Linked DNA regions of Danio rerio. Each later gene encodes a partner of the first gene's protein in a complex. Links are inferred from orthologs where the notes say so. Each region holds a gene or a part of one and is shown in the gene's direction. Other genes may lie near its edges.

Region 1 (6,387 bases):
TTTTACTTGAGTATGATTTTTCAGTACTTTTTCCACCACTGAGTACAACTCACTGCAGAGTAGTCCATTGACTGAGAATTACGGGGAGGAGGTCATGTGTGGTTTACTCTGCATCCGCTGGGTTTCTGCCAGTGGTCCACTATAATGCTGCATTCTCCACCATCAGGCAGATTATAAAGCCACATTAGACAGTCGGCTTGGTTTTCACTAACCACTGACATGTCCTCTGGTGAGTTTAGCATGATCTGATTTGTTTCGATCTTTCTCTGGAGCTCTTCAAAAAGATATTATATAAGGATGCCCAGAATGAAGTCATGCAATTCAGTGTATTTTACTACTGTAATAGATTATGCCTTGAACCCTGCAACGGTGCATAAATGCATGCACACATAAAAAATGTGCTTAAAACGTATAATGTTGCATACACTGGCACAGTAGTTACAAGTAATTACAAGCCCACCTTCTTGTAATATATGGGTTGGTGTGACCGCTTTCACTCTGTATTGCCTGGCTCTCCATCCAGGCGAAGGAACCTCCACAATCTCGCGGTCAGAGAGCCATGTCACGGTCTCGAAGTTGTCACCGTTGGCCAGAGCGTCCACCTCCGCTTTGTGCACGCCCACCTGTTGAAACTGATGCAGCCCACCCGAATGATCAAAATGCACATGTGTGCCGATGGCCAACAGCGGGTTTTTACGCTTCGCGTCGTCCCCGAGCAGCGATTTCTCTTGGATGTATTCAGGCAGGCTCCGTAAACCCAGGCCGGTGTCTATGACGACGTCCTGATGAGAACCGCGAATGAGCCAGATATTCGCCCTGTTCCCCGATTCATAAAACCGTTCCTGGATCCAAAACACGCCGTTTTCCAGCGACTTGTGCGCGTACCAGTCGGTCGCAGCCATCCCAAATTCATTCAAGATGTTGTTATTGCATACGAGGATAGATGTATGGTTGTTAGCCTATAATTCTGGCTTCAAATTTTGCTGCTTCAGCCGCAGAGAGGAGGACGCTGACACCCTGTTCCGCAAGCGTAACACGTCACCAGCCATAACGACGTGACGCGCCGTAGAATCGAGAATGCTATTGGCCATTGATGAAATTAGCGCCTCCCAAGTTATGCATATTAATAATAAAGCACAAGCGGTATTTAATTAATTGCCTATTTGTACTTAATGCGTCTGAAAGCTGTAAAGGTAAGTGGTTGCTATTTGAATATGTTTTTTTTTCTGTTGCTGCTCCGCGACGGAGCGTAATGGAGATTTAAATAAGTAAAACGTAATGGATATTTAAATAAGTAAAACATTATATCTGCATTTATTTACCCAAATGCTGTTACAATGTATCTTGTATGTTAAATACAATGTTTCAATCATATATCTCGTATTTCTTACAAAGATACAAGTGTATTGTTGTAACATGCTGCGTTTTTGCGAGGTGAATTCTACTCAAATAGTAAAGTAGCCTAATATTAATCGTATTCAGGTGTGCTTTGGCAACTCAGAAATTAAAAGACGATCAAACGAGGGTTGTTAGTCTAAGTTTACTAATGCCAAACAGTTATTTTGGGGAAAAATAAATAAATATACTAAATTAACTAAACGACTAAATAAATAAAAAAAAGAGGAAACCAAACACATCAGAGTTGCTTGTCTCGAGAACAATTATGCATAGATTTCCTTAATGCATAATTTAAAATACTGTTAAAAATAAATAACAATAAATGACTGTAAATTACAAATAATTAAATAATAAATGAATAAATACATCCTTTATATAAACAGTGCATTATGCCCTGTTTTATGTTCTTGCATTTACAGTTGCATAACAATTAAATACACTACTTGAAACTATTGATTTAATTAAGTTTTATAGTTTAAAAGAAAATAAATTACATATGATTGCTCAAATTCATGTAGCAGTTCAATAATTCATTTTTTTTAATCCACCTTTCAAGAAAATCTAAATTAACATATTTGAAATGTTATTTTATGTGCATTACTGAACAATCTCATTCTGTATTTTATGAACATTTCCTGCTTGTTATCAAACTATTTCATAACTGTAAAAGAGGCACTTCAACCATATCATAATGTTAAAACCGCTGTCATAACATTATTTATCAATATGTGGCTCTTTTTGGATTCTCGGAAGCTATACAAGTTAAACATGTAAAACAGGAAATATGCTAAGACCATTGTTTTTGTTTACATCCTTCAAAAATACTACAAAGGGACATATTATATTGATTGACAGTTTTGCATCACTATTCATGACATCACCATCCAGTGACATCACAGTGTAGTCCTCACATCCTCATAGTGTTTAGCATGTATAAGCAATATGGATTGAAAAGTAGTCAACAACATCCTAGCTATTGGTTCTTAGATGCCAGCTAACAAATCTTGACACTATGCAATTAAAACGACATGTATCTCACTGTTATATTATATTACATAATATTTGCTTGTTGGGCGACGCAGTGGCACAGTAGGTAGTGCTGTCACCTCACAGCAAGAAGGTCGCTGGTTCAAGCCTCAGCTGGGTCGGTTGGCATTCCAGTATGGAGTCTGCATGTTCTCCCAGCATTCGCGTGGGTTTCCTCCGGGTGCTCAGGTTTCCATAACAGTCCAAAGACATGTGGTACAGGTGAATTGGGTAGGTCAAATTGTCCGTAGTGTATGAGTGGGAATGAGAGTGTATGGATGTTTCCCAGGGAGGGGTTTGGCTAGAATGGCATTCGCTGCGTAAAAACATGCTGGATAAGTTGGCGGTTCATTCCGCTGTGGTGACCCCAGGTTAATAAATGGACTAAGCCGACAAGAAAATGAGTGAATGAATATTTGCTTGTTTATTAAACTAATATAAAATTATTTCATCCAAATGATTTTAGAGAAAATTTATCTGATCAGAAATGGCTGGAAAGGGAAGAGGTGTAGCAGCATTCTCCTTCAACATAGAGTCCCTGGGTCTAACCAGAGGATCCATGCCTGAAACCCAAAGAGGACCAGCTCCACTCTTCCCAGTGAGCTATTCTGAACCATTTGTTATTATTCTTCCATCAATTTCCCAAATGGATATTTCTCTTTCCATCCATTCTTTCTCAAAACTTTAAAAATCTGATTCAGCAAGGTCAGAAAGTGTTTATTCAGAAGGTTCAGTTTTAAAGACACACGACTCCACCTTACAGCAAATCGAATATAAACCGGGGCCTTTGAAAGCTGGCGAAGATGAAGATTATATGAGAGCTTTGAAACAAGAGATGAGAGGACGAATGAAGGACCTTCCTTTTAACATAAAGCACCATGCAGGAAAGGGAGGTGAGATGGAGCTTTTATTTAATTTTAGGAACACACAATACCTATTGCCTCCTACAACGAGTCTAATAATTTAGATAATTGTAAAATTAGATGAGTATGAGTTAATGCACTGGGGGCAATGCTATGTTTTAACTCACCTAGAAACAATAAATCCATTTAACTATATGTTTAAGTGAAATAGTATAACTGATATGGTATAGTTTGACCATGAGTCACAACTACTGTATATGAAGAGTTTGGATGCAAAAAAAGTGTTGTCTGAAATTTCCATCAGAAATGAACGTTTTTCTCAGCCTCTTTTTCTTTTTTATTTTGTAAGATATTTTACTTTCAAGACCAGGAAAAGGGCTCATTCTTTGCCATAAAAGTGATATTACTGAACATACACACAGGAGACTGATAAAAATACTCATTTTAGATGAAAATTTCAGATGGCATTTAGAGGTTTTTGCATCTTAACTCTTCATATATTTATTATTGTAAGCATATCAGTATTTTTCACGATGTTATTGTGTGTGATTTAAAGATGTGGAGAGGTACAAGGAAAAATACACGCGGGAAATAAAGAAACTTGAAGATGAAGACTGGACACCAGGTATTCATTTAAATGAAATAGGCTAAATAGGGCTGGGCGATTTAATGGAAAAGTAATTGAAATCGAAAGCTTTAGAACCTATAATCGATATATGATTTATAACGATCTAATTTTTATAGGTCAGTTTTTTTTTTTCAATTACTTTCCCTGTCATGTGTGGAGTCATGTGACCTCGCTCTGTTAGCCACACTTTGCAGCCACATCTGATCTCTGGTCAAGTAGGACGATGGATCCATTCTTGAGCCATACTTTGGACTATGTTGACGATAATTGGAAGCTGTGCCAGAGATGCCTTGATGGCATATTTTCCATTACATTCAAATGATTATTTACATTAAAATATTTGTTTATAGAAGATGCAAGAAATGCCCTGTTTAAAATATTATTTACAGGATATGAAAGTTATTTTATTTAGAAGAGATACTGCTTATTTCCTACTTTTTTATATGAAAAACACTGAAAATATTTTTTTTTGTTTTTCAAATAAGTTATTTTCACTTTTTATAAGAAAAAAAGTGACTGTTTGTTTTAAACAATGTGTGTTTTAATTTTAGTTGTTCAACATTGATGTTCAATAAATAATCATAGATAGTAGATAGTGTTTCATTCAATTATTATTATTTTTTAAATCAAGTAATACACCCTTCATTCAAATATTACTTACTTGTAATATGTGAGCATATTTACTGTAGAAAACCTGTCAGTGAACCTTGAGGACAAAATAATAAAACAAATTAATCAAATATTTGGTCATTAATGGTAATAGTTAAAATGTTTCTTCAAATCGACCAGCCCTAAGGCTGAGTAATTTCAACTAAATTGTAGATATTCTTTGTAGATTGGAATCGTCTTCCGAAGGAGCTAAAACCACAGAAGAGCATAAAGAAGAAGAAAAGGGGTAATTGTATCGAGATGTAGAATCCCTAAACAAACTGCAGTTTTGAATGACTCATACACTTAAATACTTTCAGATCTGAAGAAATCCGTAAAAATCTCTACTAAGGACAAAGAAGAAGTGCTGAATAAGTTGGATGTGAGCTCGTGCTGTTTTCATCTTCTCGATTTACTGTAAACAGATATTTTTGGTTGGAGCCATCTCATTTGCGCTTGTTTTTATTTCCAGGAACTTGAGAAGAAGGGAGATGTCAAATCTGATGAGGAGGATGAAGTGAAGAAAGAAAAGAAAGAGGATGACGAGGAAGGAGAGGAAGCAGAAATTGAAGGAGACTATGATGAAGAGTTTGAAGAGGTATACGCTTTTATTTCAGGGAGCATTTTTATTTATTGTTTGTTGAATACATGTAATAGGCATCCAAACATGGCTAAAACTTGGCTAAAATAAGGCTACATTTGACCCTTGACACGTCTTACATTTTACTTTTCTGTCAAATACCATTAAGATATTAAAATTGATATTAAAATATGAAATTGATATTAAGGATTTTTTTCTTTGGTAAATTTCCCATGGTAAATATATTAGAATCAAGTTTGGTTTAATGGATATTGCTAAGCACATAATTTAGTCAAATTTTAAGGTTATTTTCTCAATCTTTTGATTTTTACAATCTCTCAGATTCCAGATTTTCAAGTAGTTGCATAGACTAAATCATCTCAAACTGAATTCCTGGAGGGATGAAGGTGTTCATGACTAAATCTGGAATATGAGGGTTTGTAAAAATTTAAATATTGAGAAAAAAACCTTTATTGGGTTTGAGACCTATGGACTAAATATTGTCTTATCCCAGGGGTGTCCAAAGTCGGCCCTGGAGGGGCAGTGTACTGCTGAATTTAGCTCCAACTTGCTTCAACACATCTGCCATGCAGTTTTTATTAACTGACCAAACCTATATCTGCGATCACGAGTTCGTGCCTACGCATTCTGTCGTACATCGTTGCGAAATGGGGCGGGATTAAACAAGATGATTCGACATTTGAAAAAAAAAAGCGAGCGATTAGTCCACATTTTAAATTCCTGTCCAGAGAGATCGTGTTTTGATCCTCGATTGGTGTCACGCAGTCAAGTGATGCGATTTGACACACTAACTTGCATTTCCGGTCTGACGCATTCGGGTGCATATGAATGGAAGTCTATGGGGAGAAAAGTCCAGTGTGACCGCAGCTATTCCTGAGATCCACCTTCCTGCAGATTTCAGTTGCAACCTAAATAAAACCCACCTGCCTGTAATTATCATGTGCCGTCTATCAATAGGTTCAGGTGTTTGATCAGTTTGAGTTGAACCCTACAGGAAGGTAAATCTCCTGGTTGAGGGTTAAGCAACCCTGTTCTATTATATCTAGTAAGCGCTTGATTAGCTGGTTCAGATGTGTTTGATTAGGGTTGGAGCTAAACTCTCCAGGACACCGGCCCTCCAACACTGGGTTTGGACACCCCTGTCTTATCCTAAAAAAAAATTAAAACCTTACAAAAATGGAAAGCTTCATATAGCTTTTAGATGATGCATGCATCACTGGTGA
Region 2 (6,401 bases), on another chromosome or scaffold:
AGAGAAACTGAACTGACTTAAACATAATATCACAGTATTTGAATATCTTAGAAATATATAATTAACTGTTATACCATTACAATATTAAATTATGTGTTTGAAAATGTATCCAGGAACTTGAAACCTAAAAATAAAGATCACTTTTTTTGGGGGGGAGAAATTAAGATATAGCTAGATTATATGCAAACTTTATTCAAAACAAACAGATCTCAGAGGGAGTCTGAATACTTGTTTTCTTGCTTTATTTCCCCCCTAACTCTTTTATATACTTTAAAAAAGTTATGAAAGTTGTTCAAACTTTTCTAGAAGAGAAATTAAAACTTTTTTTAAAAAGTTGTATGGAAAAATGATTATCAGTAGGAGACGAACAAAGGAGAAGCTGAACATCAGCTTTGAAGATGCTTTAATAATAGGATATTAGTTTGTTCAAACTGTTTTGTGCACGATTATTAAACACAATTGTACATTTTAAAGAACTAATCTTTGAGCTTTACTTTTAAACACTCCTAAAATGGCTAGTGAAGTCGTGGAAACAACGGTTTTTACCTAATAACATGATCTCCAGTTTTTTTCGGTCCACTCGGAACCTCTCCTCGGTCCACTCGGGGTCCGGAGGCGCCGTGGGTCCGCTGGAGTCATCCTCAGACACGGGCAGCGGGGAGTCGGTGCTGCGCTCGCTGTTGGAGCCCGGGTCAGACTGCTGTAAGTATCCGCTTAATGGTTCGCACTGAGCGGCCATGACTTTCACAGAGCACCGCTGACTCTCCGCAGCCTCAAATCAGATCATTCCCGCGGAGAGTGAGCGCCAGTCATCGCGGGCTCTGTGTGAGTTACTCTGACCGACCGGAGGAGTATAAAGTGAGGCAGGCAAAAGTTGAGCGCCGCCCTTTGTTCAATATGAGCCAGAAGGGTGGATGGAAGGGGTCTGTGTCCCAAAACTTATTAAAGTGCCCACTTGACACCGTTCAGCTCCTGTTACGCCATAAATATGATGTTGATAAGTCTGACTCTTAAGTAACATTTCGAGAGTTTTTTTGGGGCAATACCAGTGTATAAATTAAATTAAAAAATTTGTTTATTATTTTATAATTAATTGTGTATTATTTAAATTATTAAATAGAAATATATTTTACAAATATTGAATATATTTTACAAAAAACAAAACTATATAAATTATTTCAGAAACATTAGTTGCAAATTGCACAAATATAAACTTTAAATGTATTTACATTATTTTAATGAACAATATTTATTCATTATTGTGAAAAACTAGATATTATATTATATTATTATATCTTTTTCTAACAGGAATGATAAGCTCTCTGCTAGCAAAATATATAATATAATATAATATAATATAATATAATATAATATAATATAATATAATATAATATAATATAATATAATATAAATAGGAATAAAAAAGTGAGGGCAGCCAAAAGTTGAGTGCCGCCCTTTGTTCAATATGAGTTAGAAGAAGGGTGGATGGAAGGGGTCTGTGTCCCAAAACTTACTGAAGTGGTTACTTTTACAACAGTTTTTTATAAAATATGTTTTTATTTTTCACCTTTTCATTTTAGTTTTATTTTATACTTGTTAATGCATAATATTCAAAATAAATGTATTGTACAAATATTGAGTATATTTTACACAAAACACGAAATTTCATAGACAGTAGTTTTAAAATTCAGTCCGATAATAAACCATTTTATGACACAAAAGAGACCATATAAAAGGAATGAAATAAACTTTAAATAAATATGTTTAAAATGTTTGTGCATTAAATTAAAACTATAAATAAATATGTTTAAAATGTTTGTGCATTAAATTAAAATTTACCATTTACAATTTTAAAGAGTATTTATGAAATACAGTCCAGAGTTATTATAGTATATCATTATATAGGCCTAATACAATATGATATTTATAAAAATAGCTATAAATATATATGTAAATAGATTTGAAACAAAATGTTTATTTATTGTTCAGATAAAATAACCGTTAAAAACAAAATATTTAAAATTAGTTCATTATTATTTAATATACAGCACTTATAATTTTTTTTAAGTTAAAAGTTTATTAATATTTTATTAATTGAGAGTTTATTAACAAAACCATCATGATGACACCATAAGACTAAATGGACAAATAAAAACTTTAAATATATTTTATTTATTTTTATTAAAAAATTTGTTATTGTGATAAATATAATATAAAATGATATAATAATATAAAATAAAATATAATATAGATGATATATAAAATAATAATATGTAAATATTAAAAAATGATATATAATATAATATAATATAATATAATATAATATAATATAATATAATATAATATAATATAAAATGTCTGAGTAATCTTTTCCTAACAGAGGGCTCGTGTCACGTGACCAATGATGCTCCTGCAAGGATGTAGCTGTCAGCTGGAAGAGTTCGGCAGATATGATGTGAGCAGTTTACACAAATTTCAAGTACGTATAGTATTTATTTTCACTTATCTCTAATGCAGCCGTGCGCAGCATTTTTAAATATGTCCGTCTAAATGTCATAAAGTGCTATGAAAGGCTTTGTTTTGATAGCATAGGTTGCTAACAAAATGGAGGCGCGCGCGTCTTGAAATCCAAGTCAGCGCACATTTAGTGTATTTTGAACGAGCGTTTCTCTTGGAAAATTAAGGTTTTCACCTTTGTTTGAGTCTGAGTAATCACATATTGCACGCTGCTCAGTAGGGTTTGTTGTTTGTGTGTTTGGCAGGATGTGTGATCATGGAGATGGGGACGCGGAGGCGAGCTCATCTTCCACTTTCAGACCGTCTTTTGCTCTGGGCAACGTTAAAGGACTGCCAGGGAGAATTTCACACAATCCTCCTCCACCAGGCAGACTGACCTCCCTGCGGTCCAGAGACCTGACCCTGGGAGGATTTAAAAAGGTTACTCATTCTAATACCTTTTTAATGCTGTTTTTAATCTTTAACAAAGACAAAAGATTGGTTTAAAGGGATAGTTCACGCAAAAAAATAAAAATTCTGTCATCATTTACTTACTCTTTCCTTGTTTCAAACCTTTAACGTTATTCGTTTCTGTCTTGTGTTGAATTTATTGAATTACTTGTTTGTGTTTTGGATGTTTATTGTTTTGTCCATGTTTGGGCTCTTGCCCTCAGCTGCAGTCATCACAAGACAAATTTCCCTAACTGGGACAATAAAGTTTTACCTTACCTTACCTTAAACACAAAATAAATAATTATGAAAAATGCTGGAAACCTGTAACTATTATTGAGATTTTAAATTTGGTTTTGTATTCGCTCGTTCATTCAGAACTTGTGATATGATCATTAGGCATGGGCCGATACAAGATTCTGACGGGATGATAACCTTGGATAAAAAATATCACGGTTTCACAGTATTGTGATTACTTCTCTAAAATATATTCTTTTTAAATCTCTGGGTAAAAAACAAACTTTTTTTCCACTTTAAATACAAAAAATTTACTTTGAGAAACATTTTAAATATTTTCCAACAGTAAACATGTCAGGCTACAGTAAATAATTAAAACAAGTCTTTGACTTCTGCTGTCTTCATTAGTTTCAAAAACTCAAATTTCTTTACAATTTAAAGTAGCACCTTTAGATATGTTTTTGTTGTCGGAGATTTGTCCTAAAAAAAAACAAAACAAAAAAAAATAAAAAAAAAACGAGATAAAATAAATAATAATTAAAATATAAATAAAAAAAACAAACAAATACATACCTTAGGAAACGGTATAGCAAAAGATTTCGGCAGTTTTAAAACCTTGATTTTTCCAAACCGCAGTACACCTCGAAAACGGTTATTGTCCCATGCCTAATGCTCACTATATCGTTTACGGTAACTTGGTTAAGTTAGTTTTATATTCACACATTCATGCTTTCTCCTTAATAATATAACTAGAGAAAAGTATTGTTTGCAAATTCTAAATAATGAATTAATATTAGCAGCCAACAACTGTCAAAGGGAAACATTAACAACTAAAGTCAGTTAAATAGTGCCAATGTTGTTTTGAAGACATCCTTACATGCTATTTCAGACTGAATAGTCAAAGTAGCTTGTTGAACAATACAGGGAGCGTGTCACAAGTTGTCGCTGTTAAAAACTGAACAATCGTGCGAATACAAAATCAACTTTACCTTAGTATTGTTTACCATAGTACTTTATCAGGAATATTAGGACTGAAATCACATGTAACTTCAAAACAACATTAGCACTATTTATTTGGCTGTGGACAATGTTGTATAATTGTGATACAACATTAATAAAACAATAATACTTGTTTGAAATTATATTATTAAGGAGAAAGTCAGAATGTGCGAAAATAAAACTAACTTTACCACATTGTAACCAGTGATTTTCTTAGTATTTGTTTTTCCTACTATGGTGGTCAATGGTTACAGGTTTTCAACATATTCAAAATATCAAATTTTGTTTAATTGAAGAAAGAAATGTATAATGGTTTGTGGGTGAGTTCATTATTACATTTAAAATATTCAGTGAACTATTCCTTTAACTTATGTTACTTGCATTGTGCTTTTTTACAATAAAAACATGGTTTCAAACCTGCTTTGGAGAAAATTATGAAGAAAATGTAAATGTGCAGCGCATTTTTTTAAAACCATAACCATTAGGATATATTTGTATAATACAATTTAACATGATCACATAACATGATAACATGATCTATCTATCTATCTATCTATCTAATAAATGCAGGTTAAATTTACATGAATGCACCTGTTACTTTAAATTACACTAGAATAATATTATTTTACCCATATTCTTGACATTTTACTTTCTCTAAAGTCTGAGACATCAAATTATAGACACTTCATTACATTGAATATTCTTTTTAATATTAAATTAAATTAAATTTTTTGTAAATTGTTTTTAATGCAGACATCAAATTAGGTCATCATGTCAATGCCTCATACTATGTTTATACTTGTCAGTTTATTAGAATTTTAGTCTAATTACTATCTGGTCATGTGTAATAAATATGAGTGTTACTTTAATAATGAACCAAGCAATTATTAATTGACTCGCTGTGTTTTTATTTCCCTTGCAGAAAACCTTTGTTCCAAATGTTCACTCCGTTCGCAAAAGTAAAGATGAGTAAGTATTTTTAAAGATCTCATTCTATTGCTTTGTTTGGTATTTGTAGTACTCGTGCTCAATATAATTCTTCTTCATTTTGATAGGGCTTTTTATAATGGAGATTTTGTCAAAGCAGCAAACTGTGTTCTGGGGTTGGGAGTTAGAATATGCCTTGTAAATATGGCTAAATTGCATAACTATAAATATTTAAATACATTAATAATGCTATACACACACGGATGGATATATATATACACTCACTGGCCACTTTATTAGGTACACCTTACTAGGACTGGATTGGACTCCCTTTTGCCTTCAGAACTGCCTTAATCCTTCGTGGCATAGATTCTGGAAATATTCCTCAGAGATTTTGGTCCATATTGACATGATGGCATCATGCAGTTGGTGCATATTTGTTGGCTGCACATCCATGATGTGAATCTCCCGTTCCCCCACATCCCAAAGGTGCTCTATTGGATTGAGATCTGGTGACTGTGGAGGTCATTCGAGTACAGTGAACTCATTGTCATGTTCAAGAAACCAGCCTGAGATGATTTGCACTTAATGACAAGGCAAGTTATTCTGCTGAAAGTAGCCATCAGAAGATGGGTACACTGTGGTCATAAAGGGATGGACATGGTCAGCAACAATACTCAAGTAGGCTGTGGCGTTGACACAATGCTCAATTGATACTAATGAGCTCATAGTGTGCCAAGAAAATATCCCCCACACCATTACACCAGCATCACCAGCCTGAACCTTTGTTACTAGGTAGGACGCTTGTAACAAGAGGCTTTCATGTTGTTGATGCCAAATACTGACCCGACCATCCGAATGTTGCAGCTGAAATTGAGACTCATCGGACCAGACAACATTTTCCAATCATCTTTTGTCCAAATTTTTTAGCTGACAGGAGTGGCACCATGTCTACATGCCTAAATGCATTGAGTTGCTGCCATGCGATTGGCTGATCAGAAATTTGCGCTTCCGAGCAGTTGGAAAGGTGTACCTAATAAAGGGAAATGTATGTTATATACAGTGCTCAACATAAATATATACACTTCGTTTTGAAAATGAATATTTTTATCAATTTCTCAGTGAATATAGGTCATGTGTTTTGATGCATTTAAACAAAACAGATTTATTAAACAGATATATTTATTAAAATAATATTTTAGTTGCCGAACAGCATTAGAAATAGAAAGATAATACATTAAAAATAATGCTAAATATTGGAAAGGAAATTACAAACGACAAAATAAAAAAAT
Region 3 (6,367 bases), on another chromosome or scaffold:
TTAAAAAGATGTCCAAACATAGACATCTTGGCTAAAACAAGGCAAATTTGGACTGTCAGTGTATATCCAATAGACGTCTAACAATAGTACAAAAATAGACTAGTCACACACTATAAAAAAATTCAGCAGAATCGTTATGTGTTGGGACAAAATGAATTAATTAATTTAACGTAGTATTCATTCATTCATCATCCTTCGGCTTAGTCCCTTATTTATCAGGGGTTGTGACATCGTAATGAACCGCCAACTATTCCATCATATGTTTTATGCAGCGGATGCCCTTCTAGCCGCAACCCAGTACTAGGAAACCCCCATAAACACTCTGTATGTATGACTGTGAGGTGACAGTGCTAACCACTGAGCCACCATGCCACCATTTAACATACTAGTTTTTACAAATGGATTGAACATAAAGTTTTTTTAACACATAAAAAAACAGTTTTAGCCAGTTTTAAAAAAGTAATATGAACAAACAGCAAATGTATTTTTTTTAAACCAAAAAACAAAATGCTTGCTTGGAAATGATTTGATTAATTTTTCTTAGGGGAAATCCATAGTTTTACAACAAAAAGACATTTTTTGTGTGTGGCAAAGCATTATTTTTGCCACAGTTTTGTAACAGAATGCTAATATTTCACAACAAAATCAACTGTTTTGACAACACAAATGCTCACATTTCAGGAGAGAAGGTGATAGTTTTACAACACACAAGTTTTGCAAGAGAAAGCAAAAAGTATCAATGGAGTACTCCTAAGTAATAAAGTAAAGAAAAAAAACTTTTCTCCCTTTGGCTTTTGTCATCATCACTGTAGTTTTAGAAACAGCACTAAATTTCAACACAAAAAGACCTTGAACATTTTTAAACAAGTAAACAATAAAGGAATAGTTTTATTGAAATTTACCAAATATGAAAAAATACTTTAGCAGTTTTTATAGTAAGTACTTTAGTGATATAATTTGATCTCAAATATTATATATTATAAGTAATAAGGTTTTCAAACCATACTATTGTACGTTTAAATTAATCTGTTGCGCTAACTCAATTAATTGTTTAGGTATTACAACACATGTAGTAACAAACTAGTTTCTTAAATATAAAGGTTTTCTACAACTAAATGGTTTATTATACTACAATACTCCACAGTTTGCTGTTGTAAAACCAAAAGTTAATACAGTATTTATTACAGATTTACAGTTTACTATAGTTAATACTTCACTATGCTGTAGCATTCATTAACAAAGTGTTGTAAATACTATATTACAATCAAAAACACTATAGTATTTACAATAAACTGCTATATAAATTCTTTCATGATGTGGGAAAGCACAAAACAAAATCTCAAAGTTTTAATAAAAATCAACACTTGTAGCAGTGCCTGTAGTTAAAAACAACACACACATTATTATAAAAAACAAAGCATAAAATGTACCTACATAGAGACGGCCATGGCTTTCACATACACTTTCCCCACAGGTAACCGAACAGGTTCAGTGTACTTTAGAGTGCTGTCAGCAAAACCTGGCCTCTTTGTCAGCTCCGGCTTACTGCCGTCCAGCGTGTACAGGACCCTCACATCAGGGGATTCTGGGAAATATACATTATAAAACACATGAAAATCAACAAGACGCAGGCTTGTGCTAAAGAGATCAACCAAAAATGTCATTTCCTCTTACTCAAACGGTTCTAAAATGTTATAAATGTCTTTCTTCTGTTAAACATGAAACAAGACATTCTGAAGAATGTTGTAAACCAGCAGCCATTCACTCCCATAGAAGGAACATATTTTGATTGTCTATTGCTGATGCTTTCCAACATTTTTCAAAATATCTTCTTTTGCGTTCAACAGAAGAAAGTTATTCATAAAACTTAGAATAAGTGGAGGTTGAGAGCTTTTTCATTTTGGGGTGAACTGTATCTTTAGAGCTAAACTGACTCACCTGACTTGATCTCAACAGGAGTGCTGGAGTCTATCTCATGCTTGGCTTTACCTGGAGGAGGAATGCGGATGGGGATTATTTGAGGTGCTGCCACTGATCCTGCAGTCATGTTTGTGCTCTTTAACCTGCAATATAGAAAATAAAATATATCATTAGAATGACATAAAATGCTTAACGTTATACTATTATTAGTGCATTAGGCTACTGGATAATAAGAGCTTACACAGACTATTTTTTGTAGATTGAAGTATCTCTAATCACTTTACAATTGAATTGTAAATATTTCGTATATTTATATTAAATGAGTGTTTTTTTCGATGACACTCGAAGCACACGATGTGTACGGTGTGTACAAGACGCTGTAATGTTAGACTGAACACACAGCTGGCTGCGCTATTGGTGGGTCACGTTACCCATGGCAACTGATTAGTGCGCATGCGCTCATTTCCCACAGTCAAATTTAAAGGGGTAACTCACTCCTCTTGACATTAATTCTGTAGCCATTACTTCATATTATTTTCGTCCATGGAAAACACAATTAGAAAAATTCAAAATCGTTTATTATTTTCTTGAAACGGTCTAAAAGGTTGGCTTTTGATTGACCCAGCTCCCTCTACAGAATTGTGGTAAAATTTTAGATTCACACATTCGGACTTTCCTCAATAATTTAACTTTTTTTTAGTTTTTTTTTGCAAATTATAATATAAAATATTAGCAGCCAATGACTATCTAAGCACAACATTGTTCACAGTCAAATAAATATTGCTAATGTTGTTTTGAAGCCGTGTGACTGAATATTCAAAGTACCATGATAAACAATATAGGGAACATGTCACAACTTGTCACTGAATGAATGTGCCAATATAAAACCAACTTTAGCTCAATCTCTAGGGACCAGTAACTGGATCAGATTTTTATATCAATTTTACTTTACAAATTCTCTATTTGTCTATTTTACCTGAAACAATTTCCCGTGTATTCTCATTAAATAAATTTTAACACATGCGTACTTGATGCAATATTTTAAACAAAGTTTTTTTTTTAAATCATATGTCTTTATGTTTGTAAAAGAACACCCAAATCGCCATTCAGCATAATTTATGTAAAAAAAATTAAAAACATTGTGACCTAAAGCATAAAACAAGATCAATGTAATTCTATTTTGAAAGTACAGCATATATACGTTTTATAAAGCTTAAATTAATTATCAAAAGTACAATTAATTAGTGTGTCACAAAAGTCTTGTGTATTTTACTGGGGTATTATACTATAGACCATTTCAAGGGATGTAAACAATAACAATGGCACTAATGTATTTCCTCTATGACATTTAGAATTTCCATAGCTTCCAAGAATAAAAAAGGACCACAAATTGATAAATAATGTTATAGCAGCTGTTTTAAAGTTAATATATGATTAAATTGATTTGTTACAGTTATGAAGTAGTTCAACAACGAGCAGGAAATGTTCATGGGTCAGTGACATTGCCACATCGAAATGGTCTATTTATAACTCTAAATTATATTTTAACGGGAGTCTTCTACAGTGTTGGAGGTAATGCGCATTACAAGTAACGTGAGTTCCGTGATAGTATTACTTTTCTAAGTAACGAATAAAGTAACACATTACCTTCAGAAATTAAGTAATAAAATTTTAGTTACTTTTTAAAAAGTGTAATGTGAGTTACTTTTTAGTTTAAGTAATTCGCTTTAAAAAAATAAATTGCTGAATTAAAATGAATGCCACACTCGATGAGAGAACGCAGGAACAGACAGACATGAAGATGGCAGAGCTATAAATTTCTGCGATGGAAATATTCTCATTACTTTGAACACATGGAGGAAAAGCAAAAGAGTATCATTTGAATAGATTTTACTCCCAAGACAAAAAGTACTAAAGTAGGAAAAGCATTCTTTTAAACATTCATTATGCACCATGTATAGCTCTGGGCTCAGAAACTGATTCGAAGATAACTTTATCCTACATAATTTTTAGGAATTCAGATTTTTTTTTTTTTTAGGAAAAGAATTTTATACAGTGTGTTGTTAACTGTAGAGCTAAAAAATGAAGAAGAAGAAAAAAAACCTGCAATGTCTGCAAGAGATCAGCCAGCCTCACATAGGTCAAAAAAAGTAAAGCAAAAGTAACATAACGCATTACCTACCATAAAAAGTAACTAAGTAATGTAACTAGTTACTTTTTTGGGGAGTAACTCAATACTGTAAAGCATTACTTTCTGAAGTAACTTTCTCCAACACTGGTCCTCTTTAAATCATGAGGATATTTTAGTCACAGATATACTCCCGTACAGTAGGTGGCGATGTAAATCTTTTGTCTAGATTTGAAGCTTTCAGTTTCTGTTGCCATATCCGTGTTTTATCAACGAATGTAGAATACTTCCGTTATAAATACTAAAAGTCGTGTCTTAACTCCGAAATATAATTGGGTTTGACAAAACAAAATGCTTAATTCTCCGTTAAAAAGAGACAAGCCACCGATGTTGCGATCCTATTTGACAGCAGTCTGATGGGTTATTTTTCGCTGTCTGGCAACCCAGTCGCCTGTAAACTCTCCCCGCCTCTCGCACACTGCAATACCACACGGCGTTTCATCTTAGCTTTAAATGGGTCTATGAATGTATTGTTTTGTTGACACTAGGTCTAATACTCCAGTAACTCCAGTCTGATGCACAATGACAGAAGTTAAAGTCAAAAAAGAGTCAACGGACCCTGTAGATATCGAGAATAGGTGAGTTGAACGCAGTTAACGTTACACTATTCTTGCGCATGCGGCCTGTTGACGTTAACAAAACACCGTAGGACAACGTGTAAAGTTACATGGATTTAAAAAAGCAATTAAAGTTTCCATCAAATGTATTGTCTTTTTTTGCCACGTGTACATGTTTAGATACCGAAAAGTCTGACAACATGAAGCAAAATCTCTTTCTTAGTAACTTAGAGAGCTTCGTTGCATTTCATGTACGTTTTGAATGACGAAGTTTTAATAGTGTATGAGTTTGTAAACAACCTCTTTATTAGTATTATTTTAGATGAAGAACAATACATTGCATTTATGTATGTCTATTTAATGCGATATGTTTATTGGCTTGAAGTACTAGTTCAGAATTACGTCAGCAAAATGCATTAAAGTATTTTTGTTGATAAAATAAAAGTGCATCCTTTACATGTTCATCCTTTTCACAAAGACAATACGTTTTTGTTTGTTAGATAGTGTTTCCTGTCTTGCAGCACAGAGGATGCTGGGAAATGTAGTTGTTTGCTGATGTTTGCTGTGTTTTCCTCTTCTGTCATAGGATAAAAGAGTTGTGTCAGCAGTTTCCACATGGGATCACAGACCAGGTCATCCAGAATGACATGCCTCACGTTGAGGCGCAGCAGCGAGCCACGGCCATCAATAGACTGCTGTCTGTGGTGAGATGTTCAGCTCCATCTTACTGTAACAGAATGAAACATGCGTTCCTGCACTTTATATTTATGTCTGATTGTTCTTTTCTGTCCTCAGGGTCAATTAGACTTGCTCAGAAACAGCAGCGGGCTTTTATATAGGCTTAAAGATACCCAGTCTGCAAGGTTTGTGTGTCAATATTCACACACAACACTCAGATTTGTTCAGTTTATAGTAATTAATGTATAAATGAAAAGAATATGAAGTTCACACACACAAAATATATATACACATGCAAGTTTAGTGAGCAAAAACTAATTCTAATAAATACATACATATACATGCACAGACATTTATGATCAAATCAATTCGTTACAATAAAGGCAATACATGTCATATGTGCGTACAAATTTAGGACATTTATGTAAGTTCAGATTTATTAAAATTATCTTCTCAAAGTTCATGCAAATTTGCACATTAAGAAAATGATTTAGTATTAGTAAATGTAAAATAAATAAATGTATAATTAAGTTCATTTCTTTGTTTGTTTCTGTTTATTTTGACAGCAAGGTAAAAGGCTCTGATAACCAAGAGAAACTAGTGTACCAGATCATAGAAGATGCTGGAAATAAAGGTAAAATGCTTATTTATCATCAGGGCCAGACAGAATCTGCGGAAGTTTTTTTCCAGTCTTTACAAACTGCATTGTGCATAAATCAGATGAACATTTTCATATTAGTCCGTAATATTTCTGTAATTAATTAAAAAAAACTGAATAAGTATAGATTTACACACATTTACCCAAGTAAATAAACGGAATTAATGATGGGCTAAAAATCTGGAGAAATCTGCGGAAAATCTGCGGAAAATCTGGAATTCTGCGAAAAATCTGCGAAAATCTGTGTGTGCAGATTTCGTGTGGGCCTATTTATCATTCATCTGTAGCAATGTATATTTAAATCTAAAATAAACTACTGTTTCATATTGATTAGAATATTTAGTTTAATAATTTTCTTCCTATTTG
Region 4 (6,230 bases), on another chromosome or scaffold:
AATTAGATGTTATGAAACACCAACATGGTGTGGCTAAATATCAACTAACTTCGATATAAAACGGCCCTGGGAGTAAGTAAGTAACAGGGAAGTAAATTGATGACTTCCATGCAGGAAATAAATCAAACTCACCCTCTAATGTGTCATGTTTACGTGTCACAATCCTAGCTGCATCCTATTCAAAGTTAATCACAAACTCTGCATTAAACCTTGAGTTAACAGAGAAGGGTTTATAAAGCATTAAGAAATAATTTAACCTGATCTTTAGGTTGGTTTTGTCAACTTAAATCTTACTCTGCAACCCGAAGTTTGTTCAACTTGTTTTGGGCAACAGGGCTCTGCGGTTTACAATAGGCATCATCAACAGTCACATGTCTATTGTTATTGTGTCTGTGTCAGGACATATTTTTGTCTGTTATGCATTAAGCGTTGGTGCCAAAGGGTGAAATGGACTGTGGTACAGTACCCAGGTGAATATTTACCAAGGAGCATCATATAGGCTAAAGTTTCAAAAAGAAACTGACATTGCAAAAACAAAACACACACACAAACACATATAACCTGAAAGTAAGCAACCAAACTGGTTTTTAGTTGAGGTAACGTGGTGAATAAAATGTTATCACCTTGTCAAGGCCTGTAAGAATCTGTTCCATCTCGTTTTGGGTTACAAGGCTTGCTTTCTGTAAAGCTTTTACATAAGCTTTACTCCCTTTAATATCAGCCTTCCACATTCGCTGGTCGTACGAGATTGACGCGTTGAACTTTTCCATTATAGGGTCGGTGTTTCCCACAAAGCGACCACCCCATAGTTTATTTCCCTGTCATAAAATAGACATTAGGACTTTTCTTAAAAGGCTTGTAACTATGAAACACGTGCAAAATCAGAAATTAAATAGCTATATTTACCTCTGAACTTGCCATTGTAACAGTCTCTAGAGTAGCGACCTACGTGCGATGAGCAAACGGAAAACTAAAGCGTATGATTCAAACAGAATGAGGAAATGTCATATAATTAAAGGAACAAATCAGTGCTTTTAAGTATTCGAGGGATAAATTACAGTAAGAGCCTGCACATCCAACAGCGACCGGACTGCATTTCCTCCTCGTTTATTTTGGGACCAAGCACGCCCCGCCCATAATATGCAAATGAGGTGTTTGTGAACTAATCAAAATCATAAGCGCGATTTTTCGGGAGCTGTCGTTCATTTGAGTAACCAATCCCGTCAACTATACCGAAGGCTACAGAACCGCCTCTCTTAAGGAAAATACACTTTTATAAATCAGCATGCAGTGACGGTCATGGACGATGGATGGCGTCATTGTCTAATTAAAATGAAAGATAATGCTTTAATGGGGCGACACGGTGGCTCAGTGGAAAGCACTGTGGCCTCACAGCAAGGTGGCATGTCTGTGTGGAGTTTGCATGTTCTCCCCGTGTTGACGTGTGTTTTGCTCCGGTCCATATGTGGGTGATTGTTAATAAAGTGTGTATGGATGTTTCGCAGTACTGGATTGCAGCTGGAAGTGCATCAGCTATGTAAAACATATGCTGTATAAGTTGGCGGTTCATTCCGCAGTGGCAACCGCTGATGAATAAAGGGACTAAGCTGAAGGAAAATGAAAGAATAATGCTTTCATGTATTTATAAAATAAATTCGTCCACAGAGAACTTGTGATTTATGTCATTAGTTTTAGGATGTGTTTAGGATATAACGTAAAATGAATATTAGGGGAAAAAACATTAACCAATTTTTCATCATATGTTTAATTTAGCTGTTTAATCATTTTAACCAATACTACGCCATTTAAAGCAGCCTGCAGCCTTATTTAGATAACATACAGATTTCAATCTTAATTTTTGGAAATACCTTGATGGTATCATTTACAACTAAAATTTGCATTATGGTCCGAGACTAGATCTTGTTCTTCATTCATCAGGGTTTATCTATACCAACAATATGCAATACTGTCATTTTACCTAAAATATATATATATATATATATATATATATATATATATATATATATATATATATATATATATATATATATATATATATATATATATACATTCTATTAATTCATTGTTGGTGCAATTATAATCTATACATAGTAAACAAAAAATATTGAAATCTTATCTGTTTTAAATATTTGTAGCATTTGAACCGATTTGAACAAGACGACTGAGGGGGAACGTTTAACACAGCTTCGTTTTCTCGACGGATTGTTGTTAGATGTTGAACCAACAAAGCGAGCAGGATGGAAGTGTAAGCAACATATTTTACTTTTATATGTTTATATTCGAGAACATTTATTTTCCCTTTTTAGTTAAAATACTTATTATGTGGTGGTCTGACGGGGAAAACTACTTTGCAGGATAACAATGACAATGGAATGCTGCTCACGTGGACATCCTCGTTATAACGACAAACTGCATAACGTTATGTTGTAATTCCTACTGTGTTTTTTAGGTGTAAACATGATTCACAGAATACGTCTTAAAAATCTTATCCACAAGCCCTTCACATAGTCTTTAAAGTTTTAAATTTATAGCCAATGGATTTAGTGTGTCTCTGACTAGTTTTGCTTGTAAATACAAACTCTAAACAGTGATCTAACAGTGTTAAATCAAAATTTAAGAATCAAATTTTTAAGAGATGACAATACATTAGTAATTTTAGAAACTGAACAAAAATAAACGTTGTTAATCTTTTATATTAAAAACGGTAAATGTTGAAATATTTTTTACTGTACCTTCTGCACATTGTACTCATTTATTAATTTCCGGTTACTGTACATGATTTAAAGTAAACTAATAATAATATTAATAGTATTCTTTTGTAGGAGGGATGCCAATGCTGCTATGCTGAGCAATTATGAGGTCAGTATGAATTTTAAAACTTTCGAATAAAAAAACAAAAAGTGTACTTTTTATTGTTTGTGGCTATAGAAGTGTTCTCTACTCCACCAGGTCTATCAGCTGCTGACAGACCTGAAAGAAAAAAGAAAGGAGATGGTTAAAAATAAGCACAGCACCGGGCAGCAGAATCTCAACACCATCATGTATGAGGTGCTTGTTTTTTGATGTGATCTAACAAACATCTCCAGATGCAGCAAAACAGGCTATCTCCTTGAATGTGACAGAATGTTTAATTCCTCCTGAGGACTTGAAACCCACAGTCCATTTGTTCATAAACGAAACATGGCAAAGAGAATGGGACAACTGCATAAATAATAAATTGCATGAAATTAACCCGAAAATAAATGAAAGACGTTTAGCAAATTATAATTTTCAGACTAGGCATGATCAGATGGCCTACACCAGATGTGGAATTGGAGGATTGGATTTTAAGTTGACACATTTATATTTACTGAAAAAAGAAGCACTACGTAAATGTAATTACTGCCAGGCTGCTCTTACCATAAAACATGTTTTGTTGGAATGTAGAAGTTTAAATTCCATTAGACAAAATTATTTTAAAGAGGGTACTTCAGTGGACACTTTTAAAAAGGTACCATCAGGAAGAGTTTTAAATTATTAATTAAAAAATTAACTGAAAAATCATATTTGACTTTGAATATTTTTTTTGTGTGAATTTTTTTGTATTTATATTTTTTATATTCGTGTAAGTAACTTTTTTTATTGTAATACGAATTCGTTTTTTCATGTAATATTTTATGAATATCCATTTTGCCACGAAATAGCCATAAGTTGCTGATGTGGCAATAAATAATAAATTAATAAATAAACAAACACCTCCAAATTGGACTAGGTGATATGACAAATCATGTATAATGATATGTCATCTCATATATTGATAACGATATATATCTTACTATATAGTAACATTTCTAAAATTCAATTCATTAATAGTTTGTATTGACCACATGTAAAAGACTTTATCTAGATTTATTTTTTTTTACAATTTAAAGTACATACTCAGAGATATACTCGTATGTGATCATATTCCTCCCTTTATTTAGAATTTCAGGGCAAATATTTGATTGAGAAGGTATAAATATAAAGCACATATTAATAAAGTATATAAAACACTTTTCAAAAACCAATGATTACAGGTCCAACATTGCTAAATAATGTAAACATTGTACTTTCAAGATTGCAACTTTCTTATGATGCAGGGATGATCTGGTCAACACGCATATACAAGTATTACTGTTAACTCCACAAAATAAACTATATATATATATATATATGTGTGTGTATATGTGTGTATATGTGTGTATATGTGTGTGTGTGTGTGTGTGTGTGTGTGTGTGTATATGTGTACACACACACACAGGGGTTGGACAATGAAATTGAAACTCCTGGTTTTAGATTAATTTATAATTCATTAGTATGGTGTAGGGCAGGGATGTCAAACTCAATTCCTGGAGGGCCGCAGCCCTGCACAGTTTAGTTCCAACCCTGCTCCAACACACTTACCTGTAGGTTTTAAACAAGCCTGAAGGACTTAATTAGTTTGATCAGGTGTGTTTAATTAGGGTTGGAACTAAACTGTACAGGGCTGCGGCCCACCAGGAATTGAGTTTGACATCCCTGGTCTAGGGCCTCCTTTTGCAGCCCAGCCAATACAGCATCAATTGGTCTTGGAAATGACAGATACAAGTCCTGCACAGTGGCCAAAGGGATTTAAGCCATTCTTCTTGCAGAATAGTGGCCAGGTTACTTTGTAATGCTGGTGGGGAAAATGTTTTCTACCTTGCTCCCCCAAAACACTCCAGAGTGGCTCAATAATATTTAGATCTGGTGAATGTGCAGGCCATGAGAGATGTTCAACGTTACTTTCATGTTCATCAAACCACTCTGTCACCAGTCTTGCTGTGAGTCTTGTTGCATAATCATCCTGATACACGACACTGGCTTCAGGAGTGCACATGGTCCTCCAGAATATTTTGGTAGTCCTAGGCAGCGACATTCCCACTTAGCATAAGTATTGGGCCTAGAGAATGCCATGATATTGCAGCCCAAACCGTCACTGATCCACCCTCACGCTTCACTCTTGGTGGTACGCTTATTTGGGGCTTCTCCACACCGTAACTCTTTCCATGTGGAATAGACAGGGAATGTGGACTCATCAAGGAACAATACATCTTTCACATTGTCCACAAACCAAGATTTTTGCTGCTGGCACCATTGAAACCGATGTTTGGCATTTGCGTGAGTGACCAAAGGTTGGGCTATATCAGCTCGGTCATGTATATTGACCCTGTGGAGCTCCCGACAAACAGTTTTGTAGAAAGAGGATAGTTGAGGTGCACGTTTAATTCTGCAGCGAGTTGGGCAGCTGTGGTTCTATGTATTTTTGGATACAATCCAGGTTAGCACCCTGACATCCCTTTCAGACAGCTCTTGCATCCACAGTTACTACTGTTGGATGTGATTCATCCTTTTTGGTGGTATGCTAACATTACTCAGGAGACCGTGGCTCTTGATACATCACAACTTGCTGTCTTGGTCAGAGATACGCCAGCGAGACGCACACCAATTTGTCCTCTTTTGAACTCCAAAATGTCACCCATAATGTTGTGTGCATTTAAAACTTTTTAAGCAAAACCGTGCTTTTACTCTCCTAATTACACCTTCACACTCTGCTCTTACTGGTGGAATGCATAATCACCTGCCATGAAACCTCCAACACTAAATTGGCCAATGTTTTAGTTTCATTGTCCAACCCCTGTACAAATTGTCATATTGCACAGCCTTATCTCCAAAACAAGGCAAAGATTTGAGATTGTGTTGCTCAGTCATGCCCTTTAACGTCTGAAATCTCTGCCTCAACAGACCCTGAAGTACCTCTCTAAGACGCCATGTGTTCATCAGAAACCAGAGACAGTGAAGGAGTTCCTCACCGCCATGCTGCCTCACAAACTTACTAAGTACTTTTTATTTTTTCTCTTATTTTGTAAGCATGCATTTAAAACTTGTGCACTGAATCACCTCTTTGAAAGGAAAAACCTTAAAGCCTCAAACTGTGTGAAAGCCACAGTAAATACAGTGCATTGCAGTGACTTTGTAATTCTGGGTTTGAGATGCACCATTGTGAAGGTTTGTGTTGTGATGTTTCTGAAACCAGTACACGTGTGAGTTGCTGGTTTTGCACTTGACAATGAGTCTAGTGTTAGTTTATCAGATTTTTTATTTTAGCTTGTGAAAAAAGCAGCCTGTTAACTTCTTTTCTATTTCTGTTCAAAGAGCAGAGAAGCTGCAGC

What was found. The genes of interacting proteins can lie anywhere in the genome.
Region 2: polr3g (region 1) and zgc:171971 share a complex: the UniProt entries of both Homo sapiens proteins name them as parts of the RNA polymerase III complex. The link is inferred for Danio rerio from reciprocal best matches to the Homo sapiens genes POLR3G and POLR3D.
Region 3: polr3g (region 1) and polr3f share a complex: the UniProt entries of both Homo sapiens proteins name them as parts of the RNA polymerase III complex. The link is inferred for Danio rerio from reciprocal best matches to the Homo sapiens genes POLR3G and POLR3F.
Region 4: polr3g (region 1) and crcp share a complex: the UniProt entries of both Homo sapiens proteins name them as parts of the RNA polymerase III complex. The link is inferred for Danio rerio from reciprocal best matches to the Homo sapiens genes POLR3G and CRCP.

The regions. Positions count from the first base shown.
Region 1 is NC_133180.1:52,722,510-52,728,896, forward strand, and holds the start of polr3g (DNA-directed RNA polymerase III subunit RPC7), read left to right. Parts: upstream 1-2,891; 5' UTR 2,892-2,911; coding exon 2,912-3,022; intron 3,023-3,187; coding exon 3,188-3,317; intron 3,318-3,843; coding exon 3,844-3,912; intron 3,913-4,750; coding exon 4,751-4,815; intron 4,816-4,883; coding exon of another isoform or gene 4,884-4,891; coding exon 4,892-4,945; intron 4,946-5,035; coding exon 5,036-5,161; intron 5,162-6,387. Other genes in the region: acyl-coenzyme A thioesterase MBLAC2, read right to left, coding at 461-902. UniProt on the Homo sapiens protein: DNA-dependent RNA polymerase catalyzes the transcription of DNA into RNA using the four ribonucleoside triphosphates as substrates.
Region 2 is NC_133187.1:7,834,470-7,840,870, reverse strand, and holds the start of zgc:171971 (uncharacterized protein), read left to right. Parts: upstream 1-2,396; 5' UTR 2,397-2,450; coding exon of another isoform or gene 2,451-2,455; 5' UTR 2,456-2,479; intron 2,480-2,762; coding exon of another isoform or gene 2,763-2,763; coding exon 2,764-2,937; intron 2,938-5,104; coding exon 5,105-5,151; intron 5,152-6,401. Other genes in the region: zgc:110716 (uncharacterized protein LOC550248), read right to left, coding at 547-739. UniProt on the Homo sapiens protein: DNA-dependent RNA polymerase catalyzes the transcription of DNA into RNA using the four ribonucleoside triphosphates as substrates.
Region 3 is NC_133197.1:25,887,327-25,893,693, reverse strand, and holds the start of polr3f (DNA-directed RNA polymerase III subunit RPC6), read left to right. Parts: upstream 1-2,362; 5' UTR 2,363-2,564; intron 2,565-4,501; exon of another isoform or gene 4,502-4,630; coding exon of another isoform or gene 4,631-4,686; intron 4,687-5,251; coding exon of another isoform or gene 5,252-5,312; coding exon 5,313-5,369; intron 5,370-5,460; coding exon 5,461-5,528; intron 5,529-5,909; coding exon 5,910-5,977; intron 5,978-6,367. Other genes in the region: dzank1 (double zinc ribbon and ankyrin repeat-containing protein 1), read right to left, coding at 1,435-1,585, 1,939-2,047. UniProt on the Homo sapiens protein: DNA-dependent RNA polymerase catalyzes the transcription of DNA into RNA using the four ribonucleoside triphosphates as substrates.
Region 4 is NC_133196.1:33,905,585-33,911,814, reverse strand, and holds the start of crcp (DNA-directed RNA polymerase III subunit RPC9), read left to right. Parts: upstream 1-2,225; 5' UTR 2,226-2,258; coding exon of another isoform or gene 2,259-2,266; intron 2,267-2,830; 5' UTR 2,831-2,843; coding exon of another isoform or gene 2,844-2,862; coding exon 2,863-2,880; intron 2,881-2,970; coding exon 2,971-3,069; intron 3,070-5,802; coding exon 5,803-5,897; intron 5,898-6,213; coding exon 6,214-6,230. Other genes in the region: asl (argininosuccinate lyase), read right to left, coding at 624-818, 907-921. UniProt on the Homo sapiens protein: DNA-dependent RNA polymerase catalyzes the transcription of DNA into RNA using the four ribonucleoside triphosphates as substrates.